4 linked regions of the Elephas maximus indicus genome follow. The protein of the gene in region 3 purifies or fractionates together with the protein of the main gene of each other region. This does not show direct contact. Links are inferred from orthologs where the notes say so. Each region holds a gene or a part of one and is shown on either strand. Other genes may lie near its edges. The genes, in order: TRIM24, histone H2AX, SSRP1 and TOP2A.

Region 1 (7,335 bases), on a different chromosome or scaffold from region 3:
CTTCCCAGGATGCGCCTTCATTGCTGTTATGGGTTGTACTGTGTCCCTCAAAAACACATGCTATAAATCCTAAACACTATTCTTGCAGACGTAATCCCATTTGGGATTACGGTTTTGTTATGTTAATAAGGCTAAATTAGAGTAGGGTATGTCTAAAACCTAGCCACTTTTGAGATATAAAAGTGACTACTGTATTTTCACTCAAGTCAACTAGTTACATGTTCTTTGCAGACCATGCACAAGACTGTTTTCATAAATGCACTATACTAAATTTTTTTTTTTTTTCAGCAACGTGCATAAAAATATGGTAGGCACAAAAAGTAAAAAAAGCACAAAGGAGAAAATACATGCCAAGGGGAGACAGCCAAGGAGTGAAGGAATGCCAGGTCTACAGAAAGTCAAAGAGAGTTCCCCTAAGAGGTGATATAGAGAGAGTCTTCTCCTAGAGCCGGTGCCTTGAATTTGGACTTCTAGCAACCTATACTGTGAGAAAATGAATTTCTGTTCTTTAGAACCACCCACTTGTGGTATTTCTGTCACAGCAGCATTAAGAAACAATTGCCTGATCCATTATATTGTTAACTCTATTGTCTTGCTGTATCATATATAATGAATCCCGAACTGACTTCCCTATTAATAACCTTAACATTATTCCAATAACACAGAAAAAATGCTTTGATTATCACAGGCAGTTATCAACTGCAAAACCAAACTGCAAAAAAAAAACAACTGCAAAGCAACCATTAAATCCTCTCTCTAAAGCAGTACTAGATCATAGAATAGTTGGAGATTACCTCTCACAGAACACGGTGGTGTATGTTGCACTCACATAAATAACTTTAGTAGAAAAAGAAATATGAGCAATACAAAAAAATCCAGACTGGCTAAAAAAAGGTGAATCATATTCTAGCCCACTTGATCTTTTCAGTGGATTTAAGTCCATGGGGCCCTTAACTCAGAGGAATCTTAGAAACTCTAAAGAATTACCCTCATTATAGTTCTTGTTACAATCTCCCTAATAAGATGTGTTTGCTAAAAAGTCTTAAATGTTTTTCAACAGTGTCACATTCAACAAATGATTGCCATTCCTCTGTAACAACAAGTATGTAGCAAAGAAGCCACAGATGCTGCGATGTCATACCTAAGTAGAGCAGACAAATTAAAAAAGAAAACGACTTGCCTGAGGGTGACTGAGCAACATGTCCATTTGGTCACATCTTCAAGAAACACTCCTGAAGAGATGATCAAAAGGGGGGAGTTGTTACATATTTTTATAGAGGCAAGAATTAAAATGGCTCCCCTGGGTCAAGAACCAAACAAAAATCAAAAAGCCATAAGAAACAACTTTATGCAGAATCTAAATTTAGACAAGTTTTCTTTATCAGCATTAGTTAGCAGGTTAGCAATACTTATCAGCATGAGTTAACAGTCATTCAATTAAGAAAAACCAGCTTAGCATTCAGTGAGGAACTTTCCCAAAAGAAAAAAATTAAAATGTGATTAACCAATCAGAGCAAAGAGCAATGTTAACTGTATAAACTCAAGCCCCCTCACCATTTTTAGTTTGGGGTGCTCCCAGTTTGTGAACAGTTTCTTACTCAATAAACCCTGTTAACTTCAATTGACTTGGTGATCAAATTTTTCTTTCCAACATTATTCAAAGTAATTTTTCCAGTTACTTTGTACTTTTTGAAGAGGTGTTCGAGTATTTTCAATATTAAATTTTAAAAACCCTAGAGGCACCGAAAGGTCACAGCCTTGAAAGCCCTATGGAGCAGTTCTATTCTGCGTACATGGGGTCGCCACGAATGAGAGTTTATCTGACATCAGCTAACAAGTCTATTAGAAGAAACAATCACTGCGCTTGTAACTTACTATAAATGTTTCAAACCTGTTAACATTAGCAGTGAGAACTGCCTGTCAAAAGTCTCATTGTACAGTAACAAACACCACAAAAAGATAACCACCGTAACTTCAACATTTCCAGATGTGGTCTACAAAACACACACAAAAAAACCCGGCGCCTCAAATCGCTCTGGATTGTTCCACTCCTTTCAAAATAAAATCTTCGAAAGAGACACGACAACAAAACCCCGGCTCTGGGTTCCTTTGTCCCCATCGGAGGGGACGCGTGGAGGTAACGGACCCAAACGTGCGAGATAGGAAACAGACGGCACCCAATCTGCGATCAATCATCCAACAAAGTCCCCGTCCCCGAGTCCTCGCCTCCCCCTCCCCCTCCGGCTCCGGCTCCGGCTCCGGCTCCAACGACGCTGGTCTGCACCGGGCGACTGGGATCGCAGGCACCGGGACAAAGCTTCGGGGACGCGGCGGCGAGCACCGGCCACAGGACGGCCCGAGCGGGCTGCAGAGCGCGGTCGCCGCCGGCCGCCCGCCCGCCCCCGCCCCCGGACGGCGACCCCTCCCTCACCTTGGGTGGCGAAGGGCGACGCTCCGGGCGGCGACCCGGGCGCCGGCGCGGGCGGCGGGGTGTCGGCGGGGCCGAGCAAGGGCGCGGGCAGCATGAGGAAGCGCTGCGGCGCGGGCAGGCAGCGCTGGCAGAAGGAGTGCAGGCAGGGCAGCAGCTTGGGCGCGCGGCTCTGGATGTTCTGGTGGCACACGGCGCAAGTGTCCAACAGGTTGAGCCGGGCCGCCTCGCCGCCGCGCTCCGAGTCCGGGCCCTGCCGGCTCTCGGCCTCGTTCTCCCCGCTCGGCGCCGCCGCCGGGCCCCCGGAGGCCGCCGCCGGGCCCGCAGCGCCCGCCGCCGCCTTCTCCACAGCCACCTCCATTGTCCTGCCCCCGCCGCGCCGCCGGGGAGGGAGCGCCTCCGCCCGCCCGCCGCGACCTCCGCCGCCTCAGGCCGCCTCCTCAGGCCACCGGGAGCGAGCGCGCGGGCGAGTGACGAGGGAGGCCGAGCGGCCGCCTCAGCCGGCCCGCCTCCAGTACGCGGCCGGAAGCAGGGTCTGTCAACGGGGACCGGTGCTCGCGCCGGGCGCTGCGCCCTCCTCCTCGCCAACCGCCGCCCGCCCCGCCTTTCTCCCGGCCGGCCCGCCGGCCCCACCCACCGCCGGCTCAGCAACGAGCGCTGCACGGCGCGCGCCGCCCAATCACCGCCCAGCCTGGGGCGGGGGCGGGGCGGCGGGGCCCGCGAGGCGCCGGCGGGAGGTGGAGGGGGCGGGGCGCTCCCCGGCCCCGCCCCCGAGCTGCGCGGCCCGCGGCCTCCAATTGGGCCTAGGCGGGGCTGCGCTCCGGTGCGGAGACGAGGGCGCGTTTGTTAGCCGCGGAGCTCTTGATTGGGCCTGCCTGTGTCGGCTCCTCCTGGGGGCGTAGCCTGGCTGCTCGTTAACCAGCAAGCTCCTGATTGGGCCCGCCGGAGTCAGCCCCGCCTACGGAGCGGTGCCTGCCTCTAAAAAAGCACACTGCTAATTAAGTAACTGCTTCAAAAACTCCGGTTTTCTCCTGCATGTGGGGCTGCTGTACCCACGGCTGTCATCGAGTGGATTCCGACTTTTAGCGACCTTGTAGGACGGAGTACAACTGCCCCATAGGGTTTCTAAGGCTGTAGTCTTTGGTGGGGGGGTAGATTGCCACATCTTTCTTCCGCGGAGCAGCTGGTGGGCTTGAACCACCCACCTTTTGGTTAGCACCAGAGAGCTTAACGCTGCACAACCAGGACTCCCTAAGCAAGGATTAAATATGGTAGGAGACGAAGAGTTAGTGAAAATAAGAGGAAAAAAATTTTTTAAGTAAAAATAGTGTGCAAAAAGGATACTGTGGAGGCAGCCTTCATTTGCAGCCTAAATTTACTCCCCTCTCTGTCGAGTGAGGAAACCCTGGTGGCATAGTGGCTAAGAACTAAGACTGCTAACCCAAAAGTCAGCCGTTCGAATCCCCCAGGTGCTCCTTGTAACCCTATGGGGCAGTTCTACTCTGTCCTCTCTGTCCTCTGGGACTTCTATGAGTCAGAATCAACTCCTTGGCAGTGGATTTGGTTTTGGTTTGCTGATGAGTGATAGGAGCCCTGGTGGCACAGTGGTTAAGAGCTTCATCGCTAACCGAAAGACCAGTGGTTCCAGCCTACCAGCAGCTCACAGACAGGACTAGGCTGGAGCAGGGCTGGTCCGCTCCCCCTCTTACCCCTCTCACCTGCCTCCACATAGGCCAGGAAGAAGTCAAGCAGGACACAGAGTGGAATAAACAACCTGCCCTACTGGCACGTGGTGCAACTGTAACCCACCTGCTGGAGAGTGGAACAGAACACACACAGGCCCTGTGGGGCAAAATGTTCCCGCTGTGGGGTGGAACAAATGGAGGTGTTCTAAAATGTTGCAAATAAACTGTTAATGTAGATCTTGCAGGACTCCACCGATACAGAGTGTGTGCAAAAGAAGAGCAACCACTGTTTGACGTTCCCTTGCCTGCCAAAGGGGGCAATGTGTCAAAGGGAACCAGTGTGCCTGCATCACATCCCATAATGAGTTATGTCAAGGGGAACCAAAGGACTTCCATCCTGAAGAAATCCCGCATGCGCACCTGCATTTTCATAACCCAACCCCTCCTCAGAAATCTCCCCCCCTCCCCCCAAGAACCTCATGAATTAACATCAATACCCCTTCTTTTTGAAACCCTTGAATACTTGGCTCTTAGGCAAATCCAGGAGACAGTTTCTCTGAAGGTTCTAGCCCTTACTGTTTCCTTTTGCTAGCTGCTGGGAAAATAAATACGCTTGGGCGACTCCAGGCTGCCTCGATAGTCTTAGTGGGCGTTGCGAATCCAGTTGGGTTCAATCAAGCAAGGGGCCCTCGGCAACAGCTCCGTGGGAGAAAGACATGGATGGCAGTATGCTCCTGTAAAGGTTTACAGTCTTGAAAACCCTAGGCGGCAGTTCTACTGTCCTACAGGGCCGTAATGAGTCGGAATCCACTGGACGGCAATAGGTATATCAGGAGTTACACACCTTTTCATTCAATGAAACAGTCAAGATTTCAAGGAGCTTGAAATGTAGCGACAGGATGTAAGAAACAATCTTTTGTGCACCCATGAATGTTTAAAAAAAATTTTTTTTTTTTTAAGTACAAATGAAATAGTAAACCAAAAAACTCGGTCACATGGGTCAGAGTAGAATTCTGCTCCATAAGGTTTTCATGGTTATGACTTTTCCTTCAGAAATGCCTCTGGGTTGGTGGGTTCCAACTGCTAACCTTTTCGTTAGTAGCCCATTGCTTAACTGTTTGGGGCACCCAGGGACTCCAAATGAAGTGTTGGTGTTGTTGTGGGCCGTTGAGTCAATCTGACACACATCGGCCCTACATGACAGAGTAATACTACCCCATACGCTTTCCTAGGCTGTAATAAGGTTTCCAAGGAGCAGCTAGTGGATTTGAACTGCCAACTTTTTGGTTAGCAGCCAAACGCCTAACCACTTGGCTGCCAGAGCACCAGTCTTTATGGGAGCAGACTGCCAGGTCTTTCTTCCAAAGTACCATCGGGTGGCTTTGAACGGTCGTACTGGGTCTTAAAAGAAAATAGGATGAGGCCAGGAAAGGCTTTGCTGAGACTGAGCCTATCCTGGAAGAATCCATGCCGATGGGTAAAGGTGGACTCTGGGCATCTAAGCCCTCCCAGGAGACATTCTCCATTACTCTCCTCCTGCTAGCCTCTTTCCTAAGCAAGGCCTCAAATTCAGTCTGCAGAGTGAAGTTCCCCTACACAATGGCGCTCGGTGTCTACTTATTAGGTACGGCACAGATTTCCTGCACCTTAGTTTGCATGAGTCACCTGGGAAGCTTCTTTAAAAGAAGATTCTAGAGCCTGTCCCTTAATTCAATTTAGCAAGCAACTCCTACAGTTCTGATCTGGGTGGTCCCGTACCATCCTTATAGAAAGAGACCTACCTATGCCAAATTTCTTAGCCCACCTACCAGTCCCTTAAGGGCCCCTCGTGGTGCAGTGGTTAAACACTCAGCTACTAACCTGAGCTGGAACCTGCCGTTGGAACCTACTCAGCAGCTCCTTGAGAGAAGGACCTGGCAATCTGCCGCCATAAAGATTGCCGCCTAGGACGCCGTATGGCGCAGTTCTACTCTGTCCTATAGGGTCGCTATAAGTTGGAATCGACTCGACGGCACTGGGGTCTGGGTATATTGACCATCCAAAGGCATTCGACTGTGTGGATCATGACAGATTATGGATAACATTTCCAGAGAATGGGAATTCCAGAACACTTAATTGTGCTCATGAGGAATCTGTACATGGATCAAGAGGCAGTCATTCAGAAAGAACAAGGGGATACTGCCTGGTTTAAAGTCAGGAAAGGTGTGCATCAGGGTTGTATCCTTTCACCATACATACTCAGCAATCTGTATGCTGAGCAAATAATCCTTGAAGCTGGACTATATGAAGAAGAACAGGGCATCGGGATTGGAGGAAGGCTCATTAACAACCTGTGATATGCAGATCACACAACTTTGCTTGCCGAAAGTGAAGAGGACTTGAAGCACTTACTGATGAAGATCAAAGACCACAGCCTTCACTATGGATTATACCTCAACATAAAGAAAACAAAAATCCTCACAACTGAACCAATAAGCAACATCATGATAAGCGGAAAAAATATTGACGTTGTCGAGGATTTCATTTTACTTGGATCCACAATCAATATCCACGGAAGCCGAAGTCAAGAAATCAAAAGACAAATTGCAATGGGTAAATCTGCTGCAAAAGACCTCTTAAAGTGTTGAAAAGCAAAGATGTCACCTTGAGGTCTAAGGTGCACCTGACCCAAGCCACGGTGTTTTCAATCACCTCATCATATGTATGCAAAAGCTGGTCAGTGAATAAGGAAGACTGAAGAATTGAAGCCTTTGAATTGTGGTGTTGGAGAAGAATATTGAATATACCATGGATACCAAAAACAATCAAAACTGTCTTGGAAGAAGTACAACCATAATGCTCCTTAGAAGCAAGGGTGGCAAGACTACGTCTCACGTACCTTGGACATGTTATGAGGAGGGATCAGTTCCTGGAGAAGGACATCATGCTTTGTAATGTAGAGGGTGAGTGAAAAAGAGGAAGACCCTCAAAGAGGTGGATTGACACAGTGGCTGCAGCAATGGACTGAAGCATAACAAGGATTGTGAGGATGGTGCAGGACCAGGCAGTGTTTCGTTCTGTGGTGCATAAGGTTACTAGGAGTTGGAATCGACTTGACAGCACCTAACAAGCTAACAACAATATTTATACATGTACGTGTGTGTGTGTCTTAGCTATCCATGATGTAACTTTTTAAATGTGACTATAATAATAAACAGTGATTGAACACAAAAGTAGCACATG
Region 2 (6,106 bases), on a different chromosome or scaffold from region 3:
TGCTGAGTTGAGTTGCCGGGAGGGACATCAGGGTGGAGTGGGCAGGCCTGGCTGCCGGTCTTGCAGGCACATCCACGACTCGTGCTGGCCACGCCGCTAACCGTGAACCCCAACAGCAGCCACCTCTGGAGAAAAGATGGTCACCTTAGGACGAGTTTGACCCTGGCCCGCCGGACAGGCCTGCGAGTTAAGACGGAGAGGATCTGATGTGAAAGCCCCATGATTTGGCAGCGAGGGGGGCACCAGAGCAAATTAGGGACCGACTTCTCTCCCGTCGAAGCCTGGAAATCAGAGGTCCTGGGCTGAGCACCAAGCTGGAGGAGTACCGGGGACGAGGCTGCAGCCGCTGGGGGCCGGGCTGGCTGCTCGAACCGACTCACCTTCAGGCCGCGGCGCCGCCGGCCACGCGCCTCGCTCCGGCGCGTCCGGGGCCTGGCGGCGGCGAGCCGCGAGCACGGACAGCAGGTGCTGGCCCCGCTCGTCCCCGGCACCACGCGCCGAAGGGCCGCCCCAGAGCGCCGCCGAAGCAGGCCGCGCAGGCGCGAGAGCCGAGTCCCAACAGCCGCGGGCTCCTGCAAGCGCGGCCTGGCTGTCCCTTTCCCCGCGGCCGAGGGCGAGGGCCTGCACCCCGGCTCCGGGGCGGGCAGCGGGCGCGGGCAGGGGACGGGAGGGGAGCGAGGCCGGCGGGGCGCGGGGCCTGGGCGGCGGGAGACGAGGGCGCGGGGGAAAGCGGAGGGCCGGGGCCGCCCGTCTCGGGGCCAGCCGTGGCTCAGCTCTTTCCGTGAGGGCGGTGGTGGCCCTTAAAAGGGCCGTTGTGGTGGCACGGGGAGGGCCGGGACGCCCCGCTACGGGCGGGCGCCCTCAGTACTCCTGAGAGGCCTGCGTGGTCTTCTTGCCGCCCGCAGGCGCCTTAGGCCCCACGGTGGCGCTGGTCTTCTTGGGCAGCAGCACGGCCTGGATGTTGGGCAGGACGCCTCCCTGGGCGATCGTCACGCCGCCCAGCAGCTTGTTGAGCTCTTCGTCGTTGCGGATGGCGAGCTGCAGGTGGCGCGGGATGATCCGCGTCTTCTTGTTGTCGCGGGCCGCGTTGCCCGCCAGCTCCAGGATCTCGGCAGTCAGGTACTCGAGCACCGCCGCCAGGTACACGGGCGCGCCGGCGCCGACCCGCTCGGCGTAATGGCCCTTCCGCAGCAGCCGGTGCACCCGGCCCACTGGAAACTGGAGGCCCGCACGCGACGAGCGCGACTTGGCCTTGGCGCGGGCCTTGCCGCCGGTCTTGCCGCGCCCGGACATGCTGCGCGAGGTAGTAGATCGTTGGAGAACGCCTCAACAGGCCGCCGGCCAGCTCCCCGCCGCAGTCAACTGCTGCCCCCCTGGCCGAGGGGCCGCCTTTATAACCCCAGGGCGCACCGCCCCCACGCCCTCCTGATTGGGCCTTTTCTCTAATACCCGCCTCTGATTGGTTGCTGTTAACCCTTTGGCGACGCGCCTAGGCGGAGGAACGACGCCAGCTGATTGGCCGAATTTGAAAACCTTTTGCCCGGGTAAAAAAGCGAGGAGAAGTGGTGGCTCGCAGACGTCCAACCACGGTGTGATATAGCCAATGCATGTGAAGCGCGCGAGATTTAAACGCTAAGGCCGGGGAACAGAACCGGAAGACAAAAGGGGTGGAGTTTGAAGCTTCCTAAAGCGTCTCTGGGAAATCTGGGCTGGCCTAGGATTTTTAAAGGAAAAGGGTCAACACTGAAACTACTTCTGTCTCCTCACTCCCCACTCCCTCCTCCTATCTGGCAAAGGGAGATTGAAAAAGGGAAGAAATGAGACCCTGGAAGTTCGACTCCATGTTAGAAAACAGATAAATCCAATCTTATGGCCCTCAAGTATTAGCGCTTAAAGTATTACGATCTCAATATTTATTCAACATGTTCTGTGTGGTCTCAGTTCTTCCTGTTCACTTCTTGCTAGAAGGGGCCTGGTGTACTGAAAGAAAAAAGGATGGAGCAAAAAGACGGGCGTCCTATTAGGGAAATGCCCCCACCAAAACTCTCATCCTACTCTAAAATGCCCATATAAGAAATACACGCATAGGAACAACAAGGAAAACACATCACTTTATTGTCACCATTGGGAGCACCTAGCCCCACCCAGTCTGCTCTTACTAATCAGAACGCTTAATTTATAATTAAATGTCAAGTCACCTTCGGAGATGTGTCCCTATCCCCTGCGCAGGTTCTATCTCAAGGCCCAGCATATTCCTTGGAAGTCAGGACTCTGAAAGCTGAGTTGTGGATAATTGCATAAAAGCTGCCATGTCCCACCTCAAGAGGCTGCAAAGACAGGATGGAGAGGGAGAGTGGCAAGCTGAAGAAAGCCACAGGCAAACCTCAACAGTCATTAGAGGGCAATAATGGCCCAGCATGTCAATGGTCACAAGGGAAAGGAAATGCTGAGAACAAACATGGAGGACAACAAAGGGTGGGAGAGGCCTGGGTTCGGAGGCAGCCTTGGTCCAGAAAGAGCTCCTCTTGAGTCAGGAACCCTGGAGACTGCAGATAGAGGTGAATAATCAGGGGAGTCAGACATCATAGAAGAGTCGGACGAGCTGGTACCGAATGGAGAAGGCGACAGCACTGCCCAGGATCTGCCAGGAGAAATGGACTGGAGTAAGAACCATGGAGAAAGTGAGATAAGGTGTAGACCCCATCCCCAACCTCACCTGCAGTAGCAGCAGAAGCAATGTGAGATTTCTCTCATGTATGGGCCCACAGACTTTGAGCAGCAAGTTGATGAGGGTCATGTTGTTACACTCGGTGACGGTACCATCCTCACTCTCACCCTGGTGCACTGTCACTAACCGAAGGCTCTCTGCTACCTGGAAAGACCAGAGGTGGAGAGAAGCTCAGCTAATACCTATGCTCTAGGAATGAGGACTTGCCTAATGCTTCCAAATTCCCCCTGCATATGATGCATGCCTAGGGTCCCCACGCCCCAGTTTCAGGATGGCTGCCTAGGGCCTTACATCCTTGTTACCCTGTTACCTTAAGAATAAAGGTGCCCAAGAAAGAGAGGCTCTTGGTCTTGAACTTGGAATAGCTCATCTCCAGTTTGCCTGTCTTGGTATTAAGTCTGTGGGGGAAGAGAGCTTTATGTGACTGGCCCACTACTCAAAGACCTCTCCTCCCAAAGTGGTTAATTAATAGGCACAGCCCTGAATCTGGAGTCCACCTGAGATCTGTGTCTGGCTCTGCTGCTTACTACTGTGTGATCAGAGCTGCTGTGAGCATTAAAGGAGATCACCTAAGTAAATGTGCTTTGTAAATTATAAAGGGCTACCCGCATGGCAAGTCTGTCCTTCTTTGGGCCCACTCCCTTTGCACAGCGTGTGTGTAAGGCTCGCTTTGGATATCCCAAGTGAAAAGGCTATGATGTCTCTTCCAAGCTTCAATGCCTATCCTTTCCTACCCTGGTACCCAAAGTGGCTACCTGGGCATACGGTGGCGAGGGCAGGGGATGAAATGCAGGAGCTGAGGCAGTGAGTAGAGGAAGTTGAACACCTGGGGCATGAAGAAGAGTAGCATGGTCTTGCTGAAGTGTCCCAAGATGCCCACCACGGCAAAGGTCATACCGGCAAAGTAACAGAAGGTATCACCCACAAACACCCGTGATGGGTACCTGTGTGGGGGAAAGACTCTAAGCCAGTGGCAAGAGGCACTACTAATGCCTCTAACATTAGGCATCATTAATGCTAGCCCAGTGCCCAGGGCGTGATGTGTGAGAAAAAGGGTTGATAACACCCAGGGGCGGATTAACCGGTAAGCAAGGTACACATGGGCTTACTTATGCTTACTAATTGGTAGTGCACAATTTCACATCAAGATGTGGTGAAACTCATGTGAAATTGTGCACTACAGATTAGTAAGTAAGCACAAGTACGCTTGTGCATACCTTGCTTACCAGTTAATCCACCCCTGGGCGTTATCAACCCTTCTTCTCACACCTCACACCCTGGGCACTGGACTAGTTCAGTTCGGACTTGGAGAAGACTCCAGAGGAGATTCCCGTTCTCCCAGCAACTCTGCAGGACCCAAGGCCCTGAATTTATCTATTCCTGGGGCCGCACAGCACTACTGCTGGATAGAGAGCAATTTCACAATACTACCAATCGAGGACTCAGAAAACACTCAACGTAAGTATGCACAAGCAGCCACTCCATCAGGAGGTGGGTCATGAATAGGTCCATCCTTGTCACAAGTTCAGATACTTGTTCCCCTATCCTCAGGCCTACTACTTACCAGTTATGGTAGAGCAGTCCCAGGGTGGTGAAAAAAAAGGGTATCATGAAGTAGAGGGAAAAGACATGATCATCCCGATATTCACCTTTGGGAGCAGGGACAAAAGAAAGGGAAAGTTAAGTAGCCACTTCTCCTCAATACTTTGGTCCTATTTTTGTCTGCCTCTAAATTCCATCCCAAGCTTTATCGTCCATCTCTCCCAAATCACTTTCAAGAACTCACTCACTACCCCTCTACGTCACCCAGGCAATTCTTGATACCCCACCTCTTTCAAGAAACCTTCCTAGTCACTGTCTTAGATCTGGTTTAGGCCATTCAAACCTAGGTCTGAATACGAACTTTTACTTCCTAGCTATCTGACCTTTGATCATGACACATTTAACTTCCCTAAGCCTCAGTTTTCTCACATAAAATAGGGCTGAGGAGAACACCTGCCACATGGAGCTATTATGAGGTTTAAATGAGATCATGTTGAAAAAGTGCTTAGCCCTAATAAGCACTTGCTGATGTCCATCAACTATAGACCAACAGAAACAACTGAAATCAATGTTGGGTTCATTAACTTGTTGCAATAAAGGAGACTGAGGAAGCCACACACCATGGGGAACCATGGGACACCTCACTAAGAGGGTGTTAGGAGGGGCTTGTTATAGGATTTAATAATATCTTACTGTGTTTTTGTCGAAAGCTTACACACACAAATTAGGTTCCCATTTAACAATTACTACACAAACTGTTCAATAACATTGGTTACATTTTTCACAATGTGTCACATTCTCGTTAATTCCATTCTGGATGGTTTGTTTCTAGTAATCTGGTTTCCTCGTCCCCTTATCCCTTCATGTTTGCTTTAGAGTAATTGTTGACCATTTGGTCTTGTATACATGATTTTTTAAAGGTGCACAGTCTCACTGGTAATATTCTTTATTTTATGGGCCCATCTGTTATTTAGCTAAAAGGTGACCTTGTGGGGGAGTTTTAGTTCAAGGTTTATGGAGTATCTCAGGGCGCTAGTCTCAGGGAGTCCTCTAGTCTCCATCAATCCAGCAAGTCTGGAGTTCTTAAGAATTTGAGTTCAATTCCACATTTTTCTCCCCTTCTATCAGGATCCATCTACTGTGGCCCTGATCAGATCGGCTGTTAGCGGTAGCCACACACCATCTAGTTCTGGTCTCAGGGTAGATGAGGGCACGGTTCACGTAGACTGTTGGTCCTGTAGACTAGTTTCTTCTCTGAGTATAGGATTTGTTTTGAGTCACTTTGAAGAGGATGCAATGAAGCAGTTTTGCTCTGGACAGGGTGCTGTCAGAAAGTGAGTAATTCTATGATTGAACACCTTAATAGTTTTTATCTAAAAGGTAGGAGGAACTGAATTGTTCCTGGAAAGAAGCAACAGTCACTTTTGTTAGCCAGGATGTTTGGTCATTTTTGTGGTTTGCACAGTGTTCTTATGGTTTTCTTGGTGCTGAAACATGATTATGGAGGGGTCTGGTTTTTGTCTTGCTCCATCATGGTCACAGAGTGACCTTGTCTGATGCTGCGGTACTGTGACATTATTTATGTTCAATAGGAGAACATCGTGGCCTAGCTATTAGTGCCAGCTTAGCTATAGATGACAGAGCTGCTGTTTTTCTTTCTCATGTTTAATACCAGTTATTCTTTTCAAAGTAAATAGCTTCTCTTATCTTCTGTAATGACTCACGTATTGCTTCTTTCTGAATCCCCCAAAGCCATATAACACTCAGACTTCTTTCTCTCCCTACCCCCAATCCTACCTACCATTCAGCTCCACCAGGTTGAAGACAATGATAGAA
Region 3 (7,059 bases):
GTCAGACACTGCAGCTCCCGGAAGATGCAGATGGCGTCTCCTGTGGCTTGGATCACGTCTGCCTTGGATAGCACGTTCTGGGCAAAGGCCTGCAAAAGCATACTGGTTACTGGGTGGCAAGGCCCACTCAGCACCACCCGCCCCCAAGGAATCCAGGGGAGGGCTCACCTCAACGGGGTCCACACCATCCTCCTGGGTGGGAGGCACGTAGAAGCGCACCTCCATGAGAGAGACTTCTGCGTCATCGTTCTGGTGGAACTCCAGTGTCACCTCATTCTTGCCTGTGGTACACTGGGACACGTTGCTGAGGGGTATCTCAAACACTGGCTGGTCACCAATATCAAAGGAAAGCAGCTGTCCTGTGGGGGAGGACTTATCAAGTCACAAGCTCCTCCCTGGAGCCTGCATGAACAACGTCCCCACCAGACTGTAAGTAATGTGAGGTCAGAGCACTGGGGCTATTCTGTTCACGCTGTACCCCAATGCCTGATGTACTAGGAGGTGCTCAATAAATGCAAAAACAACACACAAACTGATAGGAAACCAGAGACAATGAGGAGGAAAGAGAGCCAAGCAAGTTAAAGGCTATACGCCTTCATCCTACCTTTTCCCCCAAACGTCATTCTACCCAGGACTCACCGCCAAATTTCACCGTCCCCCAGTTCCAGCCCTTTACACACAGGTCCTTCTCCATTAACTCAAGGCGATAGTGAGTTTTAAAGAAATCAGAGAGTTTCTCAAACTCCTGTGGGTGGAAGGGAGAGAGATTGAGCCCAGTAAACCCCAGTGTTCCTAAACAGACTTGAATGTCCCGGAATGATCTATCTCTGAGAAATTACCCTAATATACTCTTTATCAGAAACCTACGCTGATTCAGTCTCAGCAGTAAGAGTTTTAAAGAATGTTGAAAGAACCTACTTCTGGGGAACGGATCTCATGCTGGGGGAGGGGTAAAGCTAGGCACTGATACTCCTGGTTATGAGCCTGGCAGTGCTATCAGACTTTTTAAACTCAGTATGGATATCACCTTAGTAAAAGTAAAGATTAAAACGAGGAAAAGTCTTGGTTAGGAAGCAAATCAAAATGGAAAATCAAAACTAAAACTAAAGCATCAAGCTAAGATTCTAAACCTGAATAAGGGCAGTGAGTGAGAGCAGCCATCACCTAAATCAAAAGAGAACATCTTCTGGAATTGAGGCACAAAGACACAATACCCAAGGTTGAGTACTGACTGCTTGGTGTCCTTGACGGCCCCACCCTAAATGTCAAAACCAGACCCAATGCCTTCAATTCCAACTCAAGGAGACCCTATGTGTTACAGACTAAAACTGCTCCACAGGGTTTGTCAGGCTGTAATCTTTACAGAAGCAGATGGCCAGGTCTTTCTTCTGAAGCACAGCTGTATGGGTTCAAACTTCCAACCTTTGGGTTAGTAGTCAAGCACAGACAGTCTGCACCACTTAGGAACCTCTGGCCTCACTCTAAGGAGCCCAAAATAGCAATTACATGGTTATCAGACAAAGGATGCCCAATTCTCTCCAAAAGATTAAAAACAAACAAAACAGCACAGCAAAAACGGGATTTATCACAACAGGGCAGCTCACCGACTCTCGGAAGCCGTCATACTTGTAGACATGGCCATTCTTTGTGAGCAGTTTAAGTCCATGACCCAGAGCAACACGGCGCCAGATGCCTTCTGTCAACTCCCCGGCCTGGATGTTGTCCACTTTGCCCGTCTTGCTGTTCTTGAAGATGATACCTTGGCGGCTTAACCTCAGTCGACCATCATTCTGTCAGAAAAATAGGCCCAGAGGTACAGATGGTAATGTGCAGTCTCACCAATGCCCCATTCTGCGGCTGGTGGGCTGGCGGGGTATCAATGTAGGAGCAACAGCTGAAGGGGTGAGGGCCAGTAAGAAGCCTGGGTTCTAATCCTGACTCTGGCACCCAGAACCCTTGCAGGTACTTAGTTTCCTCATTTGTAACAAGGACTTGGGACTGAACAGCATCTAAGATGCCTTCTTAGGCTGCGATCCTTTTACTCTAGGAATTCTGCTCAGTACTGCCTTTTGTTGGGGAAACACCAGGTACATATAATATTCTGAGTCCTCCTTTGCCACACTAGTAACGTCATCAAAGCAAGCTCTTATTAATAGAAGAACGCTACTTCCCTCCCCTTCCCTCCCCCTGTATTAAAAGCCCAATCCTTCTCACCATGGAGCCTTTCACCTCCTGATAGACATCGTTGAACTCCAGTGTCTCTGCCATGCTGACCTGGCCCCTGTTGGCCTGGGCACAGGGCCCTAGGCTGCACAAGGGGGAACAGGAGAAAATGGGAGCTGGGCCCCAACTCCTTGGTGGTTGTATAGATGCTCAGCAGGTTAAGGATCTGAATTCAAGAGGGGGATAGATAAACATAGGAGACAACACCTCACTATGCTCTCCACTGGAACCAAGTGGCAAACCCTGGCTGCGCCTGTGATGTCTCAGGATCTGCTCCGCCTGGGAGCCCCCACGGGCAGACTGTGCACAGCTCCAGGGGCAAGGCCCAGACTCGGCTGGGGAACTGGGCCTAGAACAGTGCTTACACGCCAACCAAACATCCGCTTGGGCGCCCCACTGGGCACCATGGCAAGGAGCAGCAGAACCCCAAAGTCTGCTCGGAGCCTGCACCTCCCCCCATCACAGCTCAGGATGCAGGGTTTCCCTTCCAGCGCTCCCACCTTGCCGCCCCAGCCCCACGGCTCCCCCCGTTTCCTAAAATGGAATCGCCCGCTTCCCGCGGATTCGAACGCGGAACGAACCATCCGGAGAGTCCCGCGGGGGAGCGAGGCCCGCGACCTCCTGGGGCACGAGGTCGACGGCCACCTACCTCAAGCTCTAGCCTCGCTAGGGCCCCGGCACGGGCGGTGGGCGCGCTGGGGGACGCAAGAGGGGGGAAGGGGGTAGGGGAAACGCAGAGGATGCTTTTCCCGCGTGCGCGTCCCCGCGTCCCGCCACCGGAAGCCGCGCACAGAACATAGAGAGGAGGAGCCGGCTAGAGGGGCGCGATCCAGGCCCGCCTGTGAGGCGGTCACATAGAGCGTCCCCAGCTCGGGAGGACCTGTGGGAGGTGAGGGCGCAGTGCGTCGGCGCGCCCTACGCCGTGGAATTCAACTAGAAAAGGGAGGCACATGGGGTCTTTAGAAAGCTACAGACACCCTTTCCGTGGAGGACTAGGTTCTAAAGGGAAGTTGTGGAGCTTTACTTCATCAGACTCTCCACACACGTGTGTGTCTGTGTTGGAACGATGCATGCCCCTATCTCTCTCCTGCACAGTAGGGGTTTCTGTGGAGTACAAAAGAGTCTGTGAAAGAAGCAGAAAAATATTTAAAGCTCATGGAGAGAAATGACCCTTCCCACCAGATGCAAAGAGAATGCTGGTGTTGGTGTCCTTGTGACCGTACTGCTCTCTAGCTGTGTCCTGTCAAGTGGGATTGGTCCCTTTTTGAAGTGACTTCACTGCCTGCACCCGAAAACCTCACATCCATAACTGCAATTTATGTTCTCCTGGAAGAGGCTGGCAAACGGCCATATCAAGTTCAAGTGCTGGTGTCAGATTCACCTTGGAGCCGGAACTGATTTGAAACCCCATCAGTCCCGGATTGCGAAAGCTAGGCCCTTCTCATATAGTCCCAAGGTGCATGTTGCAAAATCAGAGACCAGACCGGGAGGAGATGTTTCAGTTCATCTAATCCAACCTCCTTTTGCAGTTAGAAAAACCGAGGCCCCAAAAGGAGTTCTTAAGGTCTCAGTGAGCTGGTGAGGAAGCTGGAGACTAAAACCCAGATCTCCTTACCCCAGTCCAGTCAGTCATAATGACAGTGATGCTGCATTCAGAATACTTGATAACGTGCCCTGCATGACATTAGGACCGAAAAAACCAAAGTTGTTGCAGTCGAGGACTTCAACTCATAACAACCCATTAGGACAGAATATTTAAATTCAAGGTTTCCCTAACAATCTGACTGAAAACAGCTAGCTTGCTCACTCTGTCCTGGGATTGAGATGACAGGAATGCACCAATGCCACCTGAACTCATACCTTTAACTTCTGTGTAGTGGCTGTTCCAGCACAATCTAGAAACATAAATTCAATTGAATCCAATATAAGGGCTTATTATTAACCCAACATGTTTCTAGGCTTCCAGCAAACTGGTGAGCAAGATGGAAGTAGCCCCAACCTTCCAGGAACACGTAATCTAATGAATGATTCACATACTAAAAAAAAAAAAAATGTGATAACTGCCATGCTACAGGTAAAGCTTCAGTTACTGCCAACTGGAGTTAGAAATGTGTGATTCTGTACTCACTCCCTTCCAAGAGACCGTGCAAGAGACCCTCCCCCCGCCCCCATCCCATGCTATTGGAGGCAACTGGGAAGGCAGGGGATGGCTGCAGAATTGGGTAGCTTTAGGCATACACTCAGGAATGAAGGGGCTACTCAGCTAAGGGAGGCTGTGAAGTGGCTGGGGGATGGGACATTGCAAGGGGCTTTAGAGAAAGCGGTGAGCTGCAGTGAAGGAGAATGGAACAGAAACTGTAGACAGAATGCAGATAAAACATGAGTCCCAGAGGACCCTACTAGCCAGCTGCATCCCAGGCAATCAGGAGCCCAGGACTGGAGACCCACCCCTGCCGTGACATCACGGGGGAGTGGGGTGGAGACAAACAAAAAGGGGGTCCTCCGCCCTGGCCCTAGACTCTTGGCAGCCCAGATTGTCAATAGCAGAGAGAGCCTGGGCACTGGGCTTAAAAGAACAGGCTCCCCGTCCCCAACCCTCTCTCAGCTGCCCCATCCAGGCCACCATCTCTGTCTCCCTGCCCTGAAGACCCCTCCCTCCTGAGGCTGCTGTTTGGCTCCTTCTGGGTGGCCCCTGTGCACACCCTCAGCATGAACTGCATATCAGACTTCTTCACCTATGAGACCACCAAGTCGGTGGTTGTGAAGAGCTGGACTATTGGGATCATCAACCGGGCTGTTCAGCTTCTGATCATCTCTTACTTTGTGGGGTGAGTGTGTGGCCCTTGAGGTCCTAGGAGGGGAGGACCAACTGAAAGTTTCCTGTCCAGCTTTCTGAGCGTCTCCCCTCTGGGGGGAAACAGTTTCTTCTGGGGAGCCATGCCCTAAAGGACTGGCCTCTGCCACCCCCACCCAGGATCTGGTCCCCAGGTGGGTTCTTTACCCCAGTAAATCCTCCAGGGTTGGAGAGCGGTTCCTAGACACACACTCTGAGGAGTGGGTTCCTCCACCAGGAGAGATCCCTGGTGATCCATCTGTCTTCCCCCATTCCCTTATCTGCCCCTTAGGTAACAGGCAGACCACCCCCCCCTTTACATCCTCTCATTCCCCTTGGTCAACTATTTGGGGTCTCAAAAGATAAGGGAGCCCAGGAAGGGGGAGGGGAAGACCCTTAAACAAGGGAGATAGTGACAAGTTGACCAGGTTGGTGGCAGGGTGGAACGGAGGGTCAGTTGGGAGGGAAGGGTCCATTTAGAAGAGAGAGATTGCCCTCCTAGCATGGGGGAGATGGTGAGAGAGCTTGGAAAGGGGAGAAGCCCCTACTCTTGGAGAGTAGGATAAAGCTGGGGTAACTGCCCCTTGGGGTATGGGGGAGAAACATGGGCACAAATAATACTCGAGAGAAGAGTGGAAGAGAAAAGTGACTTTCCTGAAAATAGTGTGGAGTCCCTCCCGAAAAATCTAGAAATGCTCCCCTTTGCCAGAAAGCATAAAGTCCCTGCTTATACCTGAGTTTGTGCTGTATAGCCCATCCTGGGAGTTGCTTAAGAGCCCCCTCTGGGCCCCCACCTCTTGGAGGCTCCCCCACACACAAAGGGCCATGGAGCAGACAATGGCTGGGGAAGAAACACAGCATCTGTCCTTCTCGTGATCGTTTCCACAAACTGGTGGGCACCAGGAAATCCCCTCAAGGGTTTTCTTTTCTGATATGCGTGTCTCTAGTCTCGTGCTGTTCCCTGAGACAATGGGTCTGTGTGGGAGAGGCAGCAAGCTGGTGCCTAACTGCCATGAGTTCATTCAAGAAAGTCAGATGGGACTCCTGTGTGCACGTGGGCTGGAATCTTCATGCGAGTGAGTCTGCTTGCCCAAAAGATTGGGATAATGTGTGAGGCTGTGTGTGGAAAGCCATGTAGATGTGTACGAAGTGATTTTTTTTGCTTCGCGTGCTTGTGAGAGCCAGCGAGCTTTGGTTATATGGATGTTGTAGACAAGGCTGTACATCTGGACATTAGAGAAGGGATTCAGGTGTAAGGAAGGATGAAATGTCCTTGAGGTTCCCTTGCAACTTTGAGGTGTTGTGAGATAATGATGTTTGCAAATGTTCCATGTCTACATCTCCAAAGCCCAACCCAACGTTGGTTCTTCAACGTTATGTGTTCGTGTGTATATGCAACTGTGCAATTGTGTATACCCAGGAGATGGTATTTTGGTCCAGGTGACTGCAAAAACTGCCTCAGCATATTCTGGGACTGGCCTACCTCCATTGGCCTCAGGCAGGAGATAGATGGAAGATAGAGACAGACGGCTCCTGGACCAGCCCTCTTGGCCCCCTGCCCTTGTCTCTCCTCATCACAATCTGATACTCCGGGCTGGAGCCCAGCCTGCAGGAGCGAGCAGGAGAGGCTCTTTGGCATCTTGATATCCAACCCCATCCATTTCGCAGCCTGACAGCTCCCGACGGAGCAGCTCCTTCCAGTTACATCAATGCGCTCTGCATCCCCACCCCCTGCCGGAACCCCATCCGCATGCACAGAAACCCGTGAACACCATGACTTCAGGAATCCATTGTCCTTAATTTAGCAAAAAAATGTCTGCAGTCTTTCTTAGGTATTGTGAACCGAGGATAGAATGGGAGGCAAAAATAGATAGGGTCCTTATCCTTGTGGAGTTTACAGTATAATGCAAGAGATGAACTCAAGAGATGTACGTCAATCAAATAATCTCCACAAACGTAAAATTTCAACCATGGTTCAGGGTTTGAAGAACAGGTGCCGAGTT
Region 4 (6,836 bases), on a different chromosome or scaffold from region 3:
AATGATTTATTCCAAATGGAAAAAAAAAAAAAGACAAAAGTTGGAAACAATATTATTTTACTGATTTTAAGAGGATCACCTGTACTCTAGTTCCTTTAGCGTTCTCACTGTTATGGATTGAACTGTGTTGTGTCCCCCTCAAATCCTAACCTCTATGCCTGTGGTTATAATCCCACCTGGGAATGGGTTGTCTTTGTATGTTAATGAGACAGGATTAGTATAACGTAACTTGACTCAATCTCTTTTGAGATATTAAGAGATCAAACAAGCAAGCTAGAGAAGCAGAGATGGTGGAAGATTGATGCTCCAAAGAACCAGGAAACAAGCTAAATGGACAAGAACCTTCCCCAAGAGCTGACAGAGAGAAAGCCTATGCCTAGAGCCTGTGCTCTGAATTGGGACTTCTAACCTCCTAAACTGTGAGAAAATAAATTTGTTTGTTAAAGCCATCCATTTGTGGTATTCCTATTATAGCAGCACTACATATCTAAGACATACACCCAAAAAGTCACAGTGCAAAACAAATATAAAAGGGAAAAACATTATCAATCATAAATGAGACTTCTTACCAATAAAATGCTGAAAAGTTGGACTTACTATTATTTTAGGTTAACTCTCAGAAGACAGGATATATTTTCGTTATAACTGGCACACACTATGATTCTTATTTTAAATAAGACATAATATTACCTATAAGAGACCAAAACTAGCTCAATTAACATTTTCTGAAAGACAATCATCAGGTTCCTGGGAGTATCCAAGTACTTCATCATTAACACTTACAAAAAGAGCCTAAGGTGTAGTTTACTTCACAAGTGACCAGGCTAATAAAAAGGTAAAACAAGTACCCTGACCACCCACTAAGGGACACCCAGCATTTATACCTATTCTCTACCACCATCTGCTGGTTCATTATTTGAATAGCATCATGAAGAAAAGTTAAAACTCTAGGCTTCAGAATACTTAGAGAAATTATTTACTGGAGATGCTTGCTAAAGTATTTAGGGCTGAAGTGTCATGATATCTGCAATTTATTTTGAAATGATTCAAAAAATATATATATAGATGGAGTAAATATGACAAAATGTCAATAACTGTTGGATCTAGGTGGTGGGTACTGTAGGTGTTCATTTTAATGTTCTGATTTTTTTTGCAAAGTTTTTATTTAAAAAAAAAAGCCAACTTCACTAGCAGCCAAAGTAAATGCAACTAGGAATAACACTAACAATTTGATATAACAAAAGACTAAGCAAAAAGACATACGGGTCAATTGTGACTCTGATACAAGACATTTTTGGGTCCCTTTGCTTGTTGTCCGCAGCATTGACTGAAAGACAATAAAATACACATTTGTAAGAAAAGTATTTTTTGAAAACATTCTTTAACATGTAGAAAAAATTTCCCAAATAGCACAGGAGTAGCATTAACAAGGTGTTAATTTAGCAATTTTTGTCCACAGTACTGTTTCTAGAAAAGAATTCAATTTCCTGGGCTCCAGGAGACGGCCCCATTTTTTCCAACTATTCAAAATCACAGGAGCTCTGGAACAAAGGGTTTGATAGGAATGATACCTGTGAAAGATCTGACTTATAAATCTTTAGGTGAAAAAATTTACTCACCTAGAATCTCATCAAAGATTTTGTATAAACCAGGAACAAAAGTGACTTCCCTGTAGTTAATGCCAATATCTTCATCGTAAACCCACATTTGCTAGAAATAAGGCAAAAAAATATATAGTTATTTTTATTCTTTATTCTGCTTTACCATCATGATTACCATAGCCTTCTGGATTAACACTACAATAGATGTATGACCGCTAAGGCCAGTTCCAGTGACAAACTACGTGAGATATAGAAAGTTAATCTGCGAAAGAACACATTTTAACGACTAAATAACTGCTTTTCATTAGCTTGATTTTACCTGGGTCACTAATTCCACAGAGCCAATGTAGGTGTCCGGGCGGAGCAAAATATGTTCCAATTGCGTTTTCTTTTGATAGATTCTTTCGATAGACAGTCTTTTCTTAGCATCTTCATTTTTCTTTATTTTGTTGATTTGCATATTTTCATTCACAGGCTAGCAATTTCAAACAATGGGAGAAAAGGAATTTTTAATCATTGATTTATCAGAAACTATGAACAAAAAATCTCCATCATAACGATACACTTAAACCCACTATAACAAATTGCAAACTTCTAGCAGGCATTGGTGGAGTTCAGTTTTGTACCAAAACGGCCATTACAGTTAACTGCAGCCAGCGTCAATTTCAATAAACATACGTATTATCTCACCAGGTGCATCTGAAGGGAAACATTTTCCTTGAACACTGCCTTAGGTCATCACTAAAATCCACCCACTTCGTTCAGCTACACAAATATTTACTGAGTTCCCCTCCCACCGTGTCGGGTCTGCCGGCTCCTCGGATGGGGAACCCCGTGCCATCCTCAGCATCTTCCCAGATCAGCGACATTCAACCCCATTTTCCACAGAGGGGAGAGAGGAAAGCATGGATGCGCTACTTGACGCCACACGCAGACCACTAGAGTACAGATCTACCACAGACCGAAATGAATGCGGTCCCTAGAAGCAGTCTAAAACACAACACTCCCCCCGGAAGCCCGTTTAGCCGGTAGTACTTCAATACTAGCACTACAAAGGGGGCTCGCCCTACTCACCATCACCCAGAGCCCAGGGAGTGGGGCTCCACAGGGAATATGGGCTCCCTACCCTTCAGGGAGCTCTAATGGAGAGCCGGGGCTCTCCGCCCGCCGCGGGGCCGCACCGCGGCCCAGAAGCCCTCACCCCTCACGGGTCGCCAGAGATGCCCGAACCGCGCTGAGGCTCCACGACCGGGCCCCTCCGCGAGCTGTACCTGCAGTGGTGACACCTCCATGGTGACGATCGTGAAGGGGCTCGAGAACCCTGGAAGCGACTAAACCGGCGGAAGCCACGAGACGACCGGGAACCACCAGATCACTTCTCCACAGATCCGCGTCGGTTAGGAGAGCGCACCTTGCCCCATTTGAACCTTCCTTTAGCCCGCCCAAATCGGATAAGCCAGTCCCTGACTCTCTCTCTCCGGCTCTGTCGAGAACAACCAATCGTCACTGGTCTTTCATATTCACCTATGAACGGCGGAGTTGTTTGAGGGCCTGTTCGAATGAACCAATTAGACAAGGGAGGCGGGACTAGAGGGTTTCAAAAAGGCACCACTCCAAGTCGTTATCGGAGAGACAGACAGGGAATCTGGTCAATGAGGAGAAGTCATTTTTTCCTCTCGGCGCGGAAAACTCCGTAGAGACGAGGTGTGGAAGGTGGAAGGCGTTTTTTGAGGTTCCGGCTCAGAGCGAAAAGAAAGGAGAACGTGAAGGCTGTTTATTTTCTGGGAATCACTAACCTATTCAGAGCCCCTAAATCTAAAAACCGTCCAGAGATTGTTAGCGAGAGAAATAGGGATTTTAGCACCATTTTCCTGAGGAAACTAAGCGCGGGGTTTCAGGACAGGCAGTCCAGTGGTTTGGTTAAGCGAACAAGTTCTGGAGCCTGCCTCAACCTCCCCTCCCCCCAGGAATTTAATTGCAAAGAAACGAGTGTGCTATCCTTGTGGCTTTTAGTTTCCCTAACAGAAGATTGTAAAGAGGCCATGCAAAATAGAGGACAGCCTTCAAGTCCCCCACTAGTGCAGCGCCGGACTGCAACCGATAAATAAGAAGATTGGAATAAATCACCGCCAGTCTCGCAGAGATATGTTTTAAATTTAGGGGTCGTTCTGGAACTGAAATCTTTTCCTTAGACTGCCAGTAGGATGCCCTAGTACTTGTTACTTTTGCTGTCCTCAGAATTCAATTCTGCAGTGCAGAGCTGGCGTTCAAATTTGACTAGGAAATGCCAAATTGATAACGAATTCTGACTTATAAATTAAATGGTTGGATTTATACTTTCTTCGTCAATCCAGAGTTAAAAAAGAACCCCCCCCCCATTGTTTTTGCCCTTACAAGTTGTTAGAAAAAAATACCGCACAATTAGGATGATTACTAATTACATCTGAGCCAACTCCTTCCGATTATTTCTCCCTTAGTAATAATCTGCAATTTGCCAGTCGTGTGATGATGGAGGAAGCTTGCCGGTCCTTCAGTTTCCTTTGCTAAAAAGGGGAATAATATTACCTCAGAGTTGTGTGAAGATTACATGAGATAAATGTGAGGCGTTTAGAATAGTAGACTAACAACATCAAAATGAGAAGCAGGAATTATCCTTAGGCTGGCATGACAATTTGTGGATTTAATTCTTTTTTTTTTTCATTGTAAAAGAAACCAGAGGCCGACCATTGTTAAACAAAGCCAGCATCCAATGTTTACTCTGCTGGCAAAGCCCAAGGAGGAGGGACACTTCGGGGGGTGGGGGTGGGGGTGGGGAGCAATGTGTTAGGAAGCGAAGGATAGAAGTAGCCCACAGGGCTAGGATGATTGAGAAAGCCAGAAGTAGCCCACAGGGCTAGGATGATTGAGAAAGCCAAGGAATGGAGCTGTGGAGTTCCTCTAATCCTATTTTTTTTTCCTGACCTCTAATGGGTCCCTGGAGGCACAGTGGTTAGAGTGCTCAGCTGTTAACTGAGAGGTTGGTGGTTCAAGCCTACCAGCCACTCCACAGGAGAAAGATGTGGCACTCTGCTTCCACTAAGATTTAGTCTTGGAAACCCTATGGGGGGGCGGTTCTACTCTATCCTCTGGGGTCACTATGAGTTGGAATCAACTTGGTGGCAATGGGTTTGTTGTTGTTTTTGCCTGACTTCTAGGAGTTTCTACTTTCAGCTCTGTGTTGATCTGGGAAGACAACCTTGCTGCACAGGGACCACCAGAATTTCAGAGCAGTTGTAGAGAAGCCCATCCAGTAGCTTCTGCCCAGAAAGCTGGCCAGACCCTGGCTCAGGGGCAGAGTGCCACTCTTTGCAGTTTCTCTAGGACTCAGGATGGCCCGGCCGGTCAGAGACCAGCCATGCTGCCTTCTGACTCCTGGAACACAGAGGCCCCAAGAGGGTGGGGGTGGACGGTCATGTAGGAGAATAAGGAGGGAGAAGTTACCGTGCTTCCCCAAGGATGGCAGTCTAGCCTCTGCCACTCCTGGCCTCTACATTGTAGCTCATGCCATCTGTGGCTGAGGCAACAGTTCTACCCTTTTTTCTGGGGTACAGTTTAAAGTCTCCCCTGAAGCCTAATCTGATACTGACTGTGTGAGTTTCAGTTCCAGAAACCCAGAAACAGAACTGTGGAGCCAAAATGACTTTGGAGTAAAGTCCTGTGTCAGAATTTTCCCTGAATCTCAGTTTCCCCATGTCATTATCAAAGGTACAGATGGCTGAATGAGATAGAGAAACACTTAGGATAACCCTCCTCCCTCCTGCTAGCCCAGGATGGTCTTGCTTTGGACACTTTCTCCCCCAGTCCCTCTTCTTCTTTCTGGGCCCAAGCTGTTTCTCTGCCAGCCCTGTCTCCTTCCCAGAACTTACTGCAGAGGGTCTTGCAGGATTTGGCAGCAGCATTTGAAGAAGGAGATAGAAGTCTGGGAAGAGTGGGCTTGGGAAGCATTGCCCACAAAGAGGCAATTCCAGGTACCTGTCAGCTGCTGGCCCTGAGAGGCAAAAAAGGAGGGGGAGTCAGTTCCAGGAGGCCATGGTGGGGGTAGGGGGCAGAAGAGCCTTTACTTAAGACTCCTGGGGGCCAGAGGAGGGAGCTAGCCTGCAAAGGAAGAGGGTGGGAATGGGACTGAGGGGTGAGCTCTCCATCCCATTTTTCCTCATTGCCCCAAAGTCAGAGACAGCCCAAGGGAGACCAGGCCTTCTCTGAACATACTAAGAGGGCACCTTCCCCAACACCTTTTCTTTCTTTCAGTTCCCCAATCTCAGATCTTCTGCCATTAGTGGGATGGGAGGCCAAGACTAACCGGGTCCAGGATGGGAGCTGAGAGTGAGGTGGGGGTAGGGTGGGTGAGGCACTCTTACATTGACATGTCTCATCTGAGCTCCGCAGAGAGGTGGGAGCCAGGCTAAGTCCATCCTCTGGAAGCAGAGACAGGGCAGTCATGGGGTACCTCTGTAGACACCCTCCTACTTCTGCCACCTGGGAGCTACCTGGAGCTAGAAGGTGTCGGGTTGGTGGTACTGGAGGTACTAGGGGTAGCAGAAAGCAGAGAACGGAGTATCCCCTTCTGTCAGAGCACTTTGAAAGAGATGGAGCATGTGAAGGAATGAGGAGAATGGCAGGGTATGCCACTGGCTTAAGTCTTGAGCAAACAGAAGAGAGAAGAGAGTATGGGGAGGCATCTGGAATTATTTATCCAGAGAGAAGAAAGACATTTTCATAGGATTCACTGACATATAAGAAGAGACACATTCAAGATCACATAATTCTGGGTATATTAGGTGTTGTACTACTCACACTGCCTCCTCAAAGCCAAGAGTGGGAGGTGAGATTAGCAAGGCATATTTGGGGATGTTGTTTTGGGGGGGAAAAGGAGGTGGAAGAGAAAGAGGGAGGAATGGCCATAAAGTAGGCGAGCAATGGCCTGGGGACACTGGCCTCTTCTGCCCTCACAGAGACCTACCTCAGTGTAGATCACCTTTTTATTTTGGCTGGGGGCTCCAGGAAGCCCCTCCAAGCCTCTCTCACCAGGCAAGCCTGAGACACAAGCAGGGGTAGGGTGGGGTGTGAGGTGGGGTAGAATAGAGGCTCAGTGAACCAACAAGTATTACTGTGCATCTATTATGCACCAGTCTGAGACCACACAGGGAGTTGTAGGGCATAGTGTCTTACATGTGAGCAGCGTTTGTTGTGGGAAGG

What was found.
Region 1: the proteins of SSRP1 (region 3) and TRIM24 purify together in Homo sapiens (affinity purification with mass spectrometry; 3 studies listed by BioGRID and IntAct, with this or other methods). This does not show direct contact. The link is inferred for Elephas maximus indicus from reciprocal best matches to the Homo sapiens genes SSRP1 and TRIM24.
Region 2: the proteins of SSRP1 (region 3) and histone H2AX purify together in Homo sapiens (affinity purification with mass spectrometry; 4 studies listed by BioGRID and IntAct, counting the BioPlex papers as one, with this or other methods). This does not show direct contact. The link is inferred for Elephas maximus indicus from reciprocal best matches to the Homo sapiens genes SSRP1 and H2AX.
Region 4: the proteins of SSRP1 (region 3) and TOP2A fractionate together in Homo sapiens (co-fractionation; 3 studies listed by BioGRID and IntAct, with this or other methods). This does not show direct contact. The link is inferred for Elephas maximus indicus from reciprocal best matches to the Homo sapiens genes SSRP1 and TOP2A.

The regions. Positions count from the first base shown.
Region 1 is NC_064826.1:11,560,874-11,568,208, forward strand, and holds the start of TRIM24 (transcription intermediary factor 1-alpha), read right to left. Parts: upstream 3,019-7,335; 5' UTR 2,790-3,018; coding exon 2,432-2,789; intron 1-2,431. UniProt on the Homo sapiens protein: Transcriptional coactivator that interacts with numerous nuclear receptors and coactivators and modulates the transcription of target genes.
Region 2 is NC_064835.1:11,567,111-11,573,216, forward strand, and holds histone H2AX, read right to left. Parts: upstream 1,356-6,106; 5' UTR 1,294-1,355; coding exon 862-1,293; 3' UTR 519-861; downstream 1-518. Other genes in the region: DPAGT1 (UDP-N-acetylglucosamine--dolichyl-phosphate N-acetylglucosaminephosphotransferase), read right to left, coding at 2,576-2,641, 2,717-2,872, 3,039-3,126, 3,484-3,672, 4,293-4,377, 6,072-6,106. UniProt on the Homo sapiens protein: Variant histone H2A which replaces conventional H2A in a subset of nucleosomes. Nucleosomes wrap and compact DNA into chromatin, limiting DNA accessibility to the cellular machineries which require DNA as a template.
Region 3 is NC_064825.1:118,746,778-118,753,836, forward strand, and holds the start of SSRP1 (FACT complex subunit SSRP1), read right to left. Parts: upstream 3,008-7,059; 5' UTR 2,873-3,007; intron 2,390-2,872; 5' UTR 2,269-2,389; coding exon 2,215-2,268; intron 1,791-2,214; coding exon 1,605-1,790; intron 746-1,604; coding exon 640-745; intron 360-639; coding exon 169-359; intron 90-168; coding exon 1-89. Other genes in the region: P2RX3 (P2X purinoceptor 3), read left to right, coding at 4,933-5,051. UniProt on the Homo sapiens protein: Component of the FACT complex, a general chromatin factor that acts to reorganize nucleosomes. The FACT complex is involved in multiple processes that require DNA as a template such as mRNA elongation, DNA replication and DNA repair.
Region 4 is NC_064837.1:47,551,366-47,558,201, forward strand, and holds the start of TOP2A (DNA topoisomerase 2-alpha), read right to left. Parts: upstream 3,008-6,836; 5' UTR 2,894-3,007; coding exon 2,873-2,893; intron 2,077-2,872; coding exon 1,921-2,076; intron 1,711-1,920; coding exon 1,620-1,710; intron 1,328-1,619; coding exon 1,264-1,327; intron 1-1,263. UniProt on the Homo sapiens protein: Key decatenating enzyme that alters DNA topology by binding to two double-stranded DNA molecules, generating a double-stranded break in one of the strands, passing the intact strand through the broken strand, and religating the broken strand.